Linked DNA regions of Coturnix japonica. The protein of the gene in region 2 interacts with the protein of the main gene of each other region in a pairwise test. Links are inferred from orthologs where the notes say so. Each region holds a gene or a part of one and is shown on either strand. Other genes may lie near its edges. The genes, in order: PNRC2, ESR1 and TRAM1.

Region 1 (4,370 bases), on a different chromosome or scaffold from region 2:
ACAGCGCGGAGCTGCGGGTGCCCGGCCGTGTCCTCCCGGCTGCGGGGCTGCGCGACGTGCTGCCCCCACCCGCCTCTGCCCCGCGGTGTGTCCCGACACCGCCCGCACCCTGAGGGTGTTCGTACTTGTCTCCATTACTTCCCTCCCCATTGAGCGCCCACTTCTTACTGCTGCTGTTCTGTGCTTCCCAGCAGCTGTGACACCCACCGACCAGCCCGTGATGTGCTGCAGAACCCGCTGAGGCCCTGACCCCACACTCTGCTCCCAGCTGCTCACTGGGGAACAAACATTGGCAGCTGCAGCGTTTTCTGTTGCACCCGGAGCATTTTGATCCCGATTTGCGTCTCTTGGCATGTTGGAGCAGAGCAGTCCTGGACTTTGGGCTGAAATGTGGCTTAGCGTTGCAACAAGCTGCTCCTCTCTTACGTCAGGTTCTGGGGCAACCAGCAGGACCACAGCGATTGCACTCCAACCTCAGCATCCCATGCTTCCTGCAGCTCTTTGCAGGACATCACAAATGCAGCAGTCATTATGTCATTATTCTCAATGTCATTATTCAGTGACAGCCCTTGTCTCCCCAGACGGGTGCACTGTGCAGCCAGGTGGGTTTTGACCCATCTCAGCTCACCAGGGAGCTCCTCAGGTGCCCAAATCTCCCTCAGAAATCGCTGCCACCCAAACCAAGGCATCTCTTAAACAAACGGCACCTTGACGTCTCTGAATTGCACACAGCTTTCCCAGGACTGTCTTAAATTCTCCATACCCGCATTTACGCAGTGTCCAAAGAACATTACAACGGTGTTCAAGAGATGTTTAGATGTTGTACCACAGGACACAGCCTGGTGGGGAAATACTGGTGGTAGGTGGGCGGCTGGGCTCAATGATCTCGGGGGTCTTTTCCAACCTTAATGACTCTGATTCTGTGACTCTGTGCTGGGGAGACTGGAAACCCCCTGAACACAAAGCGGGTGCCATAAGGTGAGCACAGCGCTTATGGTCCGCGCACAACGCGGGAACGTCAGTTCGGCCCCAGACCCGGCGGGTTCGGCCCCGTTGCTGGAGGCCGCGGTGCCGGCTGCGGTTCGTGCGGTTCGTGCTGCTCGGCCGCCCCCGCCCGGCCGGAGCTGCGCCCTGCACCCACGGCGCGGGGGAACGAGCGCTCAGCCCGCAACGCGTCCAACTGCTTGTGCTCCAGCCTGAGGCTGTTCCTGCTCTGCAGCCAGCGCGGGGACGGGAGCGGGAGCAGAACGGCACGAGGGAGCGGGAAGCGAACGGCGGGAAACGAACGGCGGGAGCAGAACGGCGGGAAACGAACGGCGGGAGCAGAACGGCGGGAGGGAGGAGGAAGGAGGGAGGGATCAGCCGCAGCCGGTCCGAGCTGCCGCGGGGCGGCGCCGTTGGTTCCCGCGCTGCGGGGATTCGAACCGGACCCCGCCCCATCACGCCGACGGGGGAAACTTGCCTCTCATTGGCTGCGGGGAGTACGCAGCGCGCTCCTATTGGCTGGAGAGCGGCGACTTGGGAGAAGGGAGAGGGGGAGAGGTTATAAAAGGCGACGGGAGCGGCCGCCATTTTGTGTGGGGCCGGGGACGCGGCGGGGCGGGACGTGACGGTACCGAGCGGCGGGTCGGGTCGGTTCGGACGGGCCTGAGTGTGTGTGTGTGTCTGTGTGTGTGTGTCTGTGTTGTGTGTGTGTGTACGGAGCGGACAGCAGTCGGTAAAGGCGGGGCGCTGCGGTTGGGCCGGGTGCCGCCATGTTGTGCTCGTGACGCCATTGTTGGGGTCGGGGCGTGGATCTGTGTGAATTCCATCGTTTCTAACGTTCTTTTGTAGCTCCAAACTTGAAGGGGAAAAGTTGTTCCCCGTGTCTGACTCCAGACTCTTCCTGCAGCTGTGACTTCTCCCCTTGGAGTTTAGTGCCGAGAAGCTGATGTTGGCTTCGGCTGCCTGGCTGAATACGGCGGATCGGCCCATGAAAACCTGCGCCCGGAGCCAAAGGAAGGAGAGCAGCGAAAGGCAGCACCTGCTATTGCAGGCTTGGAAGCAAGAAAGGGGGCGAGGATTGGAGAGCGTGGAGTCGGAAACGGCCACTGAGAGGTAACTGAGATGTGCAGGGATGGGATGGTTCAGGGGACACAGCCGTGACAGCGCCTGGCTTTTCTTTCAGGTCCACTTACAAACGGCTGCTTCACACTTGAACGTTTTCAGTTCAGTTGTGGTTTTTAACTCGTGTCCCACAGCTGTGCTCACATCTGTGCTGCTTCCTCATCTCCTGCCAGAAAAATCTGCTCTGGAACGTATCTCATGCCTACATTGCCTTCACTGACTGTACCTGCTTAGGAATATCAGCAGTTAAAAGTAGTATTTGTTAGACTGGGGCATGCCTTTATCCGTGCAGATTTCTCTCTAAGTATAACATAGGCTTGGTTTAAATGTCTTCAGTGTTAACCCTTTCATTTGACGTTGTTTTGTGAACAGTGCACCTTTCACATTTTCCTAGTGCAGTTTGTGGAGGGAATTAGTGGCACGTCCAGTGGTTGGGCTGTGCAGAGGAGCAGCTTTTTCATCAATAGGTAGACAGAGCTGTGTATTGATGAAGGACTGGTCTGTATCCAGTTCCTGAAGGATGGATCAGTGCACGATGACCAGCAGATCAGCCATTAGCAGCAGAATTGTTAAGCCATTTTAGAGGGAGTATCTGCCACTAGGAAGACACATTGCACTGTAGTTCAGTTTTCCTGGGTTTAAAAAAGGAAAAGAAAAATACAAACTTTTCCCTTTCTTTACAGGTGACATTTAACTTGAAAATGGGTGGCGGAGAGAGGTTCAGCATTCCAGTTCCCCAGTCTAGAAATATTACCAAGAACCATCAACAACTTAAAAACAGGCAGAAGAATAAAGACCAGAATTCACAGATGAAGAAAACCTGTATGAAGAAAGAAAGAGGACATGGATGCAACTCCTTGTCTGGTGCATGGCAGGCCATGCAGAAGGCAGGAAAGAACAACATTCATTTCCCCTGTAATCAAAATTGGAGTCCTGATCTGTCAAACCGTAACCTATTTTTCTCACCTCAGACCAATCAGAACTATGCAGGAGCAAAGTTTAGTGAACCACCCTCACCAAGTGTTCTTCCCAAGCCACCAAGCCACTGGGTGCCTGTTTCTTTTAAACCTTCTGATAAAGAAATAATGACATTTCAGCTTAAAACATTGCTAAAAGTCCAGGCTTGAGATGGAACTTTAAATGATAAAAGATTTATCAATTAGTTATTTGAATTTACAGGCTCCAACTTTGAGACTAGCTATTCAGAAGTGCAGATGCACGGGTAACAGGACTAAATGTTCTTGCTGCATGTAGTTGGAAGAGAAGGAGGCAGGTAGGGACGCTTACATTCCCAATGTTTTACCTCAAAAGTTGTGTGCTTTCTTGATTTTGCTATTACATTAATTTGATTAAATCCTAGACTGTCACCATTTACTGTAAGAGTTAATGGGACTGTCCCTAAAAATTGGAATTGAGAGTCCTTGTTAATGGCATTGGAAGGCCAACTTTTGCTGAACTTGATGCAGCATTAACTGGAAAAAACAAACACTCTGCAAGCTTTAATGAGGTGCTCTGCCTTTGCCTTTTCACCTTTTATCAGATTTTCTAGTTAAAACTCTTCTGAGCAGCAATTCCTAGTGAAAATGCAAAGAGGATTTGTTTTTTTTCAGACCTTTGAGATCTGACACTCAAGCTTGTGACTAAAATTTAGTTTTAAGAAACATTTCTACATGTTCTTGAAAAAAGGTGGAAGAACACAGTAAAGAAGTCTGTATCTCCAGCTCCAGCAGTATTTCATTGCAACCTCAACAAATTAGACTGCCAGTTAATGACACGTTTTGCATTGCCAGGTGACTGCCAGAAATTCCCCAAATTCTTTGTATTCTGATGCACTGATAAGTTCTAAATTCTTTTTTTTTTCCTGTTTTGTATAATTTTGTAATTGTGAGAAAGCTGGAGAGTAGTTACTTATAACTTTAAATTGGTTACTCTACAATTACTTTAAGTTACAGTATCTTATGTAGGTATATGATGTTTTCATAGGGAAAAGAGAGCCATGTAAATAAGTGTAATACTTTGTAGCATATGTAAATTTATGCTGGACTTTCCTGCATAGAGGTATTTTTAGAACAAAAGTGGTAAATGGAAGGTGGCCATGCTGAGTACGTGGCCTGATCTAAAAGAAAAGAATTATTTTGTTAAACACAAAAGGACATTTATAGATGTAGCCTTGGACTTAATATACAGTGAATGTGTACATTTTATGTGGTCATGGGATGATTTTTAAATAAATGCAGTGCAAAAGATAATTATTTAGAATTTTG
Region 2 (4,378 bases):
GCTTTTTGAGACTCTGGTTATATTACTTATTATCACAGCAAGAAAGCGATCATAAACTGATCATGATAGAATTTAAATTTTTGTATGGCTTTGGTTTTAGTTTTTTACGCCTTTACCACTCATACTAGTATGTTACATCAGAAATTCATCATTTTGTTACTTAGACATCTTCAAATCTCCAAAATCTATGTGTTTGTTGCCAGATTACACTGCCTTATGTTCTCTTTTGAATTCAGGTGGGATTGGAACAGACAAATGAATAAAGCAAATTGGAAAATAATGCACTAAAATTTTTGAAAGAACTTGCTCTTGTACCTCATGATTAGATAATGAGATGTCTCCCAGACACCGAACACCTATTTAGAATATTTCTAGCATACTATTTATAACTGGTATACAAGAATAAGAACCTAACATTTAATTTTGTCAATATGACAACTTCCCAAATATGGTCTTTGTGAAATTTTTAAACAGCAAAGCTTTGTCTATTTAATCCTAACAGTACTATGCCTCGTAACAGACGATAATCATGGGGAGGACTTTGTTCCACATTTCCTATTACCATGTCAAATGTGCAATACAGAATCAAGGCCAGAAGAGGCCATTAAATCAGTCTTGTAACTCTGTATTCGGATAAACCACCTGCACAACCAAGATCATACATTCACCTAATTTCCACTGCTTTAAGCCTCATATATTATATACATCTAAAATGCATCTTGAAAGGACATGCCTATCCTTGACTGAAAACATCAGGACAATGGGAATACACCGCTGCCCTTTAATGCTTGTTGCAGTGCCTGAATGTTACTACTACAATGTATGCCATTTTTATTTTGAAGTGTCCCACCTCCGCTCACTGTTAGAAAATAAAATAATGCCATTTCCACAGTTCAGTTTTCATTTCCAACTGATTCTTGGTTTTTCTCCCTCCTCAAGTAAAAAGCCCTCACTTTAGCCCATTTCCTGCATGTGCATTTCAGCTTCACAAACTCACTGTTCAGCTGTTTACACACCACATGTCCCTTAAACGCTTTCTAACAGAGTTTTGCCCTGGATAATCATATTGAAAAATAAAAAAAAAATAAAAATAAAAATAAAATAAAAACAACATGGAATCTAGTGCAAAACACACTTTCACACCCACATCACTGTTAAACAATCCAGATACTCAATGTTCAAGTACATTAATTCCTCCTAGAGTTATTGCCTTCAGTTGCTCTAAAATACATTTTGTCTGAATCAGTTCAGCTAAGAGACATATTAGTTGGGCTGCCTGGCCTAACCGTTATCTTTTCACTTGTCTTTATTCCACTTGATCCCCAAAACCGATTAATCATTTGCAAAAAGTGCAATCACCATCTGTTTTTTTGGATCAGATTCTGCTACAAGATTATCTCAGGTTGCGTGACACTGTGTTTAATAACCTACATTGCTGTTCCCAGCAACAGTTAAGTCTGGCCTCGACAGGGAAAGGATAACCTGGTTTTATTTTTAGAGGGTCTCTCCATTTGTATAAAAATCACCTGTATTTCACAAATAAGCTGACATGGACAGCATTTAGGAGCTAACCGTTCACTTTAATTTGCTATAGTCCATTATTATATGCCAGTAAAAAATTAAGCTATTAACAGTGCACAAAGATTAACAATGTGAGTACTGGTGTGTTTGATTATATTTTCCTGGAAGCTACAGTTCTATCAGTTTCTCACACATATGTCAGAAATTAAGTATATGCTTTCACAATTTCCAGTGCGTATTAAAATTCTTCTATTGAAGGATAAATATAAATTTAAAAAGAAATCATATTTAAATTTATAAAAATTATTTTGAAATGCAGCATGCTAGATTTATGCTTAATATATATCAAAGTTTGATTAAAAATGCAAGGCACATAGCTCTTATTGCAGCTCATTAAAGTGGTTGCTGACTGAAATACTGTCATTGAATCAGTTCAAACAGTTTGATTTGGAAGGATATTGTGCCTGTGAACTACTTCCTATATAAGTCACTTATCCTGTAAAGGATACCAGAGGTAAGTAATACTCTTACTAGCAGCTAAGAGCTGAACAAACAGCCAATTGCACATTTTCAGTATGCTTCTAGACAGTAATTTTAATATACTGCAACAAGGAGATTGTTTGCCACTCCTTAATCAATTATGATTTCATGTTTTCCCAGGAAACATTTACACTCATTATCTAATTTGTTTCCCATTTACTTACAGTTTTCATTATTTACAGATCACAGGCACAGTAAGCTGTGAGTTACAGTTTTGTTTTATCCTCTGCTATTTTTATGGTCCCGATATCATGGAAGATTCCACAAGATTACACAGTCCTTTACACAAAAATGAAAGTGTAGGGCAGACATATTTCAATATTCTGATTTCTCAGCATAGCTGCTTAAAGAAGAAAGAGAAATTCTCTGTTGCACTTACCTGTAGAAGGCTGGAGGAGCAGTTTCCCTCATCCCGAAGCTGCCCTGTTCGTTTTCAAGGTAGTAGGGTACCTGCTGGCTGTGGTGATGGATGAAGGGTGAGAGCTGGGGTGCCGTTTGCAAGAACACCACTGGGCTTGGTGGGACATTGTTCAGAGAGTGAAATCCTGCCAGGCTGCTGGACCCAAAAGATTCAGAAGTAGGGGCATAACTGAGTGTAGTAGAGCCGTACACTGGAGCGGTAGTACCAAAATCGTAGGTGGCCCCTTCTGGGTAGTTAAAAACTCCTGTCTTGTTGCTTTCCACGTACATGTCGCTGAGCGATCGTTCCAGGGGAATCTTCAGCTGAGGTCTGCTCAGAGTCTCCAGTTCAGTGCCTTGAATCTGGTGCAGCAGGGTAACTCCAGAGGCTTTGGTGTGAAGGGTCATGGTCATTGCTAATGGCAGGGAGCAAGGAACATATCTGCTTTTACTGTCAACAGCAAGATCGGCAGCTGGCAGTCCACCTAAAAAAAACACCAGAACCTATTCTGAGGCTCAGCAGAAATCATGTTAAAGCAGCACTACACAGGTATTCCTCTGATCTCGGCGAGGAGGAGTATACAAACAAATGCAGGGTGAGCACTGGAAAGGCACATTCTCCCTCTCCCTCTAACTTTTGAGAACTCCTCATCTGCTCTAATATGCGTTACAAGGTGCTGGCTGCAAGCCAGGGGCTCTTGCCTTGTGCCGACGCTGATTTAAACATCACTTCAGAAACAATTAGTTTTGGAGGTACACCAAACAATTGTCCCACTAAATGTTACTTTATTCTTGCTAGTCATTTAATTTTTCACTGCAGGGCAGCCAGCACTCCACAGCAGCTAACGGGAAAGGACGCTGAAATCAGACCAGAAAGACTAGTCCAGTGGTCAGCCAGATTACTGCCTTTTATTTCCTCAGCAGGCTCCAATCTATCTGTGCTTATCTCTCCCTGTTTGATTCATTTTCATGTTTGCTAGAAATATGTAATGTGTACATTGTAATGACCCTGGATAGGACTATGCTGTAACTGAGATATGGCAAAGCAAAATGCATGTGCAAGCGCATGCATCTGTGTGTGTAACAAGTCTCTGTCAACAAAACTAGCTAACAGAAATTAAAGAATGTAAAAGATTTGTGTAGGACAAAAGGTTTATAACAAGCTTTATCAGTAACAGTGACCCAAACTAGTGAAGTGAAAATTTACATTAAAAAAAGTGAGGAAAAAATTTAGATTAGCCCATAAATTCCTGTCTGTTTCTGTTTTACCTTGTAAAACAATGAAGCAAAGCATCTTTCAGACTTTGCCATGGTAAGACCTTAGAAACTAGGAAGAAAGATTTCAGCGCACAAAAAAGGAATACAGGATTTTTTATTTTATTTTTTTCTATTCCCACAAACAAAAGCTCAGCAAGCTTAGATTTTGCTATCAACTTGAAAATAAAGTACTTGATTGGAATCAGTGTTAAAGTAAACTGAAATAATTCTCAAAGTTATCTTTAGGGGAAAAAAAAAAAAAAAAAAAAAAAAAGGTGGAGAAAGGACATAATGAAAAGGTGTGGCATGCATACCTCATCTTGCAATCTCATCCCAAATAATTTTAACTTTTCACAAACCACATCTCCTGAACCAGCTAAATGAAAACCTTCAGAAACCGTCCCAATTTCTCTAGCATCATTGTTGTGGTCTGCAATTCACTCAGTTAAACAGGTTAATGTTGACCCTAAACACATTAATATATGGACTTGAGTTAGTATGATTTGAATACGAGCAAAGCCTACACTAAACAACTCCACAGTTATTCAATGCAACCTTTGAAAAAATGCAAGAAACCAGAAAACTGAATGTATAGGTCACTAATAGCTTCTAGAAAAGTTTACTATAATCTTTTTTACCTTAGTAATAATATGGTGTTTTA
Region 3 (4,411 bases), on a different chromosome or scaffold from region 2:
GCATTAAATTATTTAAGTTAACGGTCAAAGTCTGACTATTATCATGATTAAAGGAATTAAGTCTTTTGTACTTACATCCAATACATACTCCTGAATAATAGCGTGTATGATTATTGCTACGAGCATATAGAAGAAAATCGTAGCCAAGTCTTTGATGCCATAGTGATAGAGAGAGATTGTTTCTGCAGATTGTTCTTCTAGAAGACAGAAACAGAATTAACTGTTAGTTAGGCACTGATACAGTTTTATGGCCAACAAGTTTGTTTCTTAACGTGAAACCTTTCAGACAAAAGTCATTTGTTGTCAGCTGAACAAATCTAAGTCCAATTAAACCACCACCCTGAGCTAGGTCACTAGACTCCATTTACAGTAATCTTCTCCATCACATCAGAAACTCAATCTGATTTTGGAAGGATGTAATATAAAAATGGAAACTCAAGTGCACTTAGGAAGCTTAGACAAATGCACTGAAAGGGAACTATAAAATTACATTCAACTATCAGCCCTCCCCCCAACTAAGTAGAACAGATCATCACTTGCATAACCAGAGTAAGAATATGAACTTATTAACCAGTGAAACTGAGCTTCAGGATTGAGAACAAACCCAGCAAAGCAGAAACATTTTCCCCAACGCAATTAAAACTCTTAAAACTCTTTCCTGCCTATTCAAACTCAACTCTTTCCTGTCTATTCAAACTCAGTACCTTATCCTCAGTTTAGGGCATACAACACGTTAGCGGTATCTGAGGATACAACCCCATGACTAACCAAGCACCTGCAAGGCACATACATACCTGTGGCAGGAATGGTAACGTTATACTGAAGAGTGACAAAAATGACAGCTGCTTTGGCTGTAATCTGAAAAAGAAAAATGCACAAGTGCTGTAGAATCTCACCAACATAAACTAAAAAATCTTTGTTCTGAAGTCTTTTTGGGGCAGGGAGATGATACCTTCACAAAACAAAACAAAAGCAGCAATTCTTGTTCATCAACAACAATTGCCAAGTGTAAGACATTTTGCTACCTGAAGATCCCCACCACATTATTACAATGATTCAAAGGAAACTGGATTTCTTCTTAAATCTTTACTTTTTTTTCCCCACTGAAACAGCACTCTGTCAACAAGCACCAGGTTTTCTTGGAACCGTCTCTGTGTAACTTCTGAGAACCCAACTAAGCTGCCAGAATTGGTTCAAATGCCCAGGGCTTGCTATCCGTGGAAGGAGCCTCCAAAGGACTCACAGCACCAGCCAGTTCTGATGTGCCATGCCAAGGCTTACTCAGCTAACACTGCTCAGCTGAGCAAGGTCAAGGCAGCATCAATACCGTACCGTACCAGCACTGACTGTGGCAGGTGAAATCCAAGGCCTGTACATAAGCATTTCTGAGACCCTGGCAATCTGCTAAGCCTCACCATATGTATAACAGAGGCACATGATCCATCTGTGCCAAGATATAAAGTAAATGTCCTGAAGTGAAAATCTGGAGACTAAGACTTTGGCACACCCAACCCACCCAACGCTACCAGCAATGTGGTAAATAAGCAATAAGCATACACACATGGGAAGGGTTTAGGTCTGTATCTTTAACCTCAGACTCCACAAAACCACACTGTAAGGTCTGGAGTGATTTCTAGGCGACTTTTGATAGTAAAACCACACAAAGCAGCATTCTCGGTGTGTCCCATCTTTGCTTTTGAGATGTTGGGAGGTTTTCAAGCCCCACCGTGCCCCTACACCTAAGCAGTACAAAGGCTGGGTAAAACTCTGCCGAAAGCCATCTATCTACATGGGTAAAACACCCACTGGCTGGGGCTCTGAAGAGCCACAACCGTGCCAAGCGGACGTGTCCTACTGCGATAGGGCACGCTGGGAACACCTCACGACGGCTCTCATAAGGGAACCCAGCACGGCACACTCGGCTCATCACACCCACACTGGGTTTCTGGGTTACTCGGAGCTCCGCAGGCCCTGTGGGCCGGGCCGGCCGCAGTGAGCCGGCGTTGGCCGGGTGATGCTCGCCCCTCGGCCCGCTTGGCGGCCGTAGGTACACGTCACCGCTGGCCGCCCTTCCCCCTGCGGGCTGCGCGGCGCCGCGCGGCCTCACGGGAGTGGTAGTGCCGGCGGGGCCGTCCGTGCAGCGCACACAAAGAGCGCGGTAAGGCAGGGCAGGGCAGGGCCGGGCCGCGCCTCCCCGCCGCCCCCCTCCGCCTCCCCCGGTCCGAACGCGGCCACACGCCGCGCACCCCTCCCTCCCTCCCCCGGCCGAGTGCCACGTAACCCCGCCGTGTGGCGGTGCACGGTCCCGCTCGAGAGGAGGCTGCGGCGGGCAGCGCGTCTCCGCGCCGAGGCGGCGAAGAGGGCGTTCCCGGAGGGGCCGGGCCCCGGGGAGCGGGGACGCGTTGCCCGCCCGGGCTCCCCCCCGTACGGCCGCGATCGCGGCACCGCGCTGCCGCCCGCCCCCGGGCCGCACGGGGCTCCCGGCGAAGGGGGAGGAGGGAGCGGGAGCCTCACCTCGAACATGAGCCCCAGCAGGAAGATCATGGCCATGCAGGACACGATGTCGGCGTGGTTCTGCACGATGAACTCGTGGCTCAGCACCGGCGGGTTCTTGTTGCTCTTCTTGCGGATCGCCATGGCGGGCCGGGAGCTGGGCGCCGCCGCCTCCCCGCTGCCAGCACAGCTCTCGCCGCGGCCAGGAAGAGGCGGGGGGGAGGAGGCGGCCGCGCAGCAGAGGAATGGCAGCAGCCGCCGCTTCACCCCGCCCCGCCCGCCGCGGCCCCGAGCGGCCCTTCCTCCGCTGCCCGGCCGCTGGGAGCAGCCCCCGTCGCTGCCCGCCAGCGCCCCTGCCGGCCGGAGGGGTCTTCGGCCCGCTCGCCCGCCCGCGGGGAGGCGGTGGCTCGCCGCCTCGCAGCCCCCGACGGCGACGTGAGGGGCGGCCGGGGCTCCTCGGACGGCGCTACGTGGCTGCGACCGCCTGCCGGCCTGCGTTGCACAAAGCCGCCTTCGGTTTTCTCTTCCGCCTCTCTGGCGAAGTTTAGTTTCCATGAGGCCGTCGCTAGCTGGTCGTCGGGTGAACGGAGGATGCCGTTAGGAAACGGCATTCGTTGGGTTTGTTTATGGTTACGGCCTCGGGGTAGGAACTAACAGCAGGTTCCTGCCAGCCCATAGCACGGAACAACACACATCCAAACAACCTGGAGTCCCAGGACGAGAAAAGTTACCCCATTAAAAGGGCAAAAAAGCCCCTAAATCAGAAATATGGAAGGGATCGAGCATTTTTAACAGCCCTAAATGAGTTCATGAATAAAAGCTGACAGTACAAAGCAGAGAATGCCCTCAATGATGCATTTTAGTATTACAGGAAATCATCAGACATCAGGAAGAACTTCTCGATCACTATCAGTGCTGATAAGATAACAAAAGGTGACAAGGAATTAAAAATGCATCCTGCCACTTACCATCTGCTTGCGTTAGAAAGACAATACTCCAACTGGCAAGAACTGAACAAGATAATAAAGAGGGATGAGGGAACGGACACGGGGAAATGGTTTTAAGTTGAAAGAGGGAAGATTTAGGTTGGATGTTAGGGGGAAGTTGTTCACTAGGAGAGTGGTTAGGCCCTGGAACAGGCTGCCCAGGGAGGTTGTGGATGCCCCGTCCTTGGAGGTGTTCAAGACCAGGTTGGACGGGGCCCTGGGCAACCTGATCTAGTAAAGGTGTATGTTTGGTGGCCCTGCCAGGCAGGGGGGTTGGAACTACATGATCCTTGAGGTCCCTTCCAACCCGGGTCATTGTGTGATTCTGTGATCTGTGAATTAAGCAATTGTGAGAAGGGCAGGAGAAGGACTGAGGATTCTCTGGGTTAAAGAAGTTCCCTGAAAACAACGGCAAGACAAGACATCTTAGGTTGATCACTTGCTGGAATCTGTAACATCAATTTTCTGAGAGCTGTTTAGATTGACAGTGTAGCTGCACTGTACTTCATTAGGAAAAAGGAAAGTGAAAACCATTCAGCAGCAAGAAATAAGGTTCTGAACTTGGCACACAGGTGCCACCTAAAATCTCACAGTCAGCAAGGAGTCTTAAGGCTTGAGCAATGTCACAGATGCAAGTGTACGTCTTAGTGCAAACTCTGCTTTAAACAATTCAGAGACACCACATATACCACGAAAGACAAGTCTGGTCAAACTGCTGTTTCCCTCATCCCTCAAGAATTCTGGGTGTTGGCTGCATCACAGTATAGAATATGTAGTTCTTTACATCGCATCTCTTTCTTCACTGTCTGCAGTTTAACTCAGTTCTGAAGGCATTTCCATAAACACAGTTAAACAGAAGAAAATGGTTCAGTGACACCTGGGATGCCAGTAGACTTCTTTAGCTTGGGAAGGTAATGAGACATCAACAAAGA

What was found.
Region 1: the proteins of ESR1 (region 2) and PNRC2 interact in a two-hybrid assay, tested with the Homo sapiens proteins (2 studies listed by BioGRID and IntAct). The link is inferred for Coturnix japonica from reciprocal best matches to the Homo sapiens genes ESR1 and PNRC2.
Region 3: the proteins of ESR1 (region 2) and TRAM1 interact in a two-hybrid assay, tested with the Homo sapiens proteins (2 studies listed by BioGRID). The link is inferred for Coturnix japonica from reciprocal best matches to the Homo sapiens genes ESR1 and TRAM1.

Annotation. Positions count from the first base shown.
Region 1 is NC_029538.1:4,928,342-4,932,711, forward strand, and holds the start of PNRC2 (proline-rich nuclear receptor coactivator 2), read left to right. Parts: upstream 1-1,501; 5' UTR 1,502-1,631; intron 1,632-1,833; exon of another isoform or gene 1,834-1,891; 5' UTR 1,892-2,097; intron 2,098-2,789; 5' UTR 2,790-2,807; coding exon 2,808-3,233; 3' UTR 3,234-4,370. UniProt on the Homo sapiens protein: Involved in nonsense-mediated mRNA decay (NMD) by acting as a bridge between the mRNA decapping complex and the NMD machinery. May act by targeting the NMD machinery to the P-body and recruiting the decapping machinery to aberrant mRNAs.
Region 2 is NC_029518.1:44,172,396-44,176,773, reverse strand, and holds the start of ESR1 (estrogen receptor 1), read right to left. Parts: upstream 2,875-4,378; coding exon 2,441-2,874; intron 1-2,440.
Region 3 is NC_029517.1:105,770,460-105,774,870, forward strand, and holds the start of TRAM1 (translocating chain-associated membrane protein 1), read right to left. Parts: upstream 2,802-4,411; 5' UTR 2,638-2,801; coding exon 2,515-2,637; intron 859-2,514; coding exon 795-858; intron 198-794; coding exon 76-197; intron 1-75. UniProt on the Homo sapiens protein: Involved in the translocation of nascent protein chains into or through the endoplasmic reticulum (ER) membrane by facilitating the proper chain positioning at the SEC61 channel.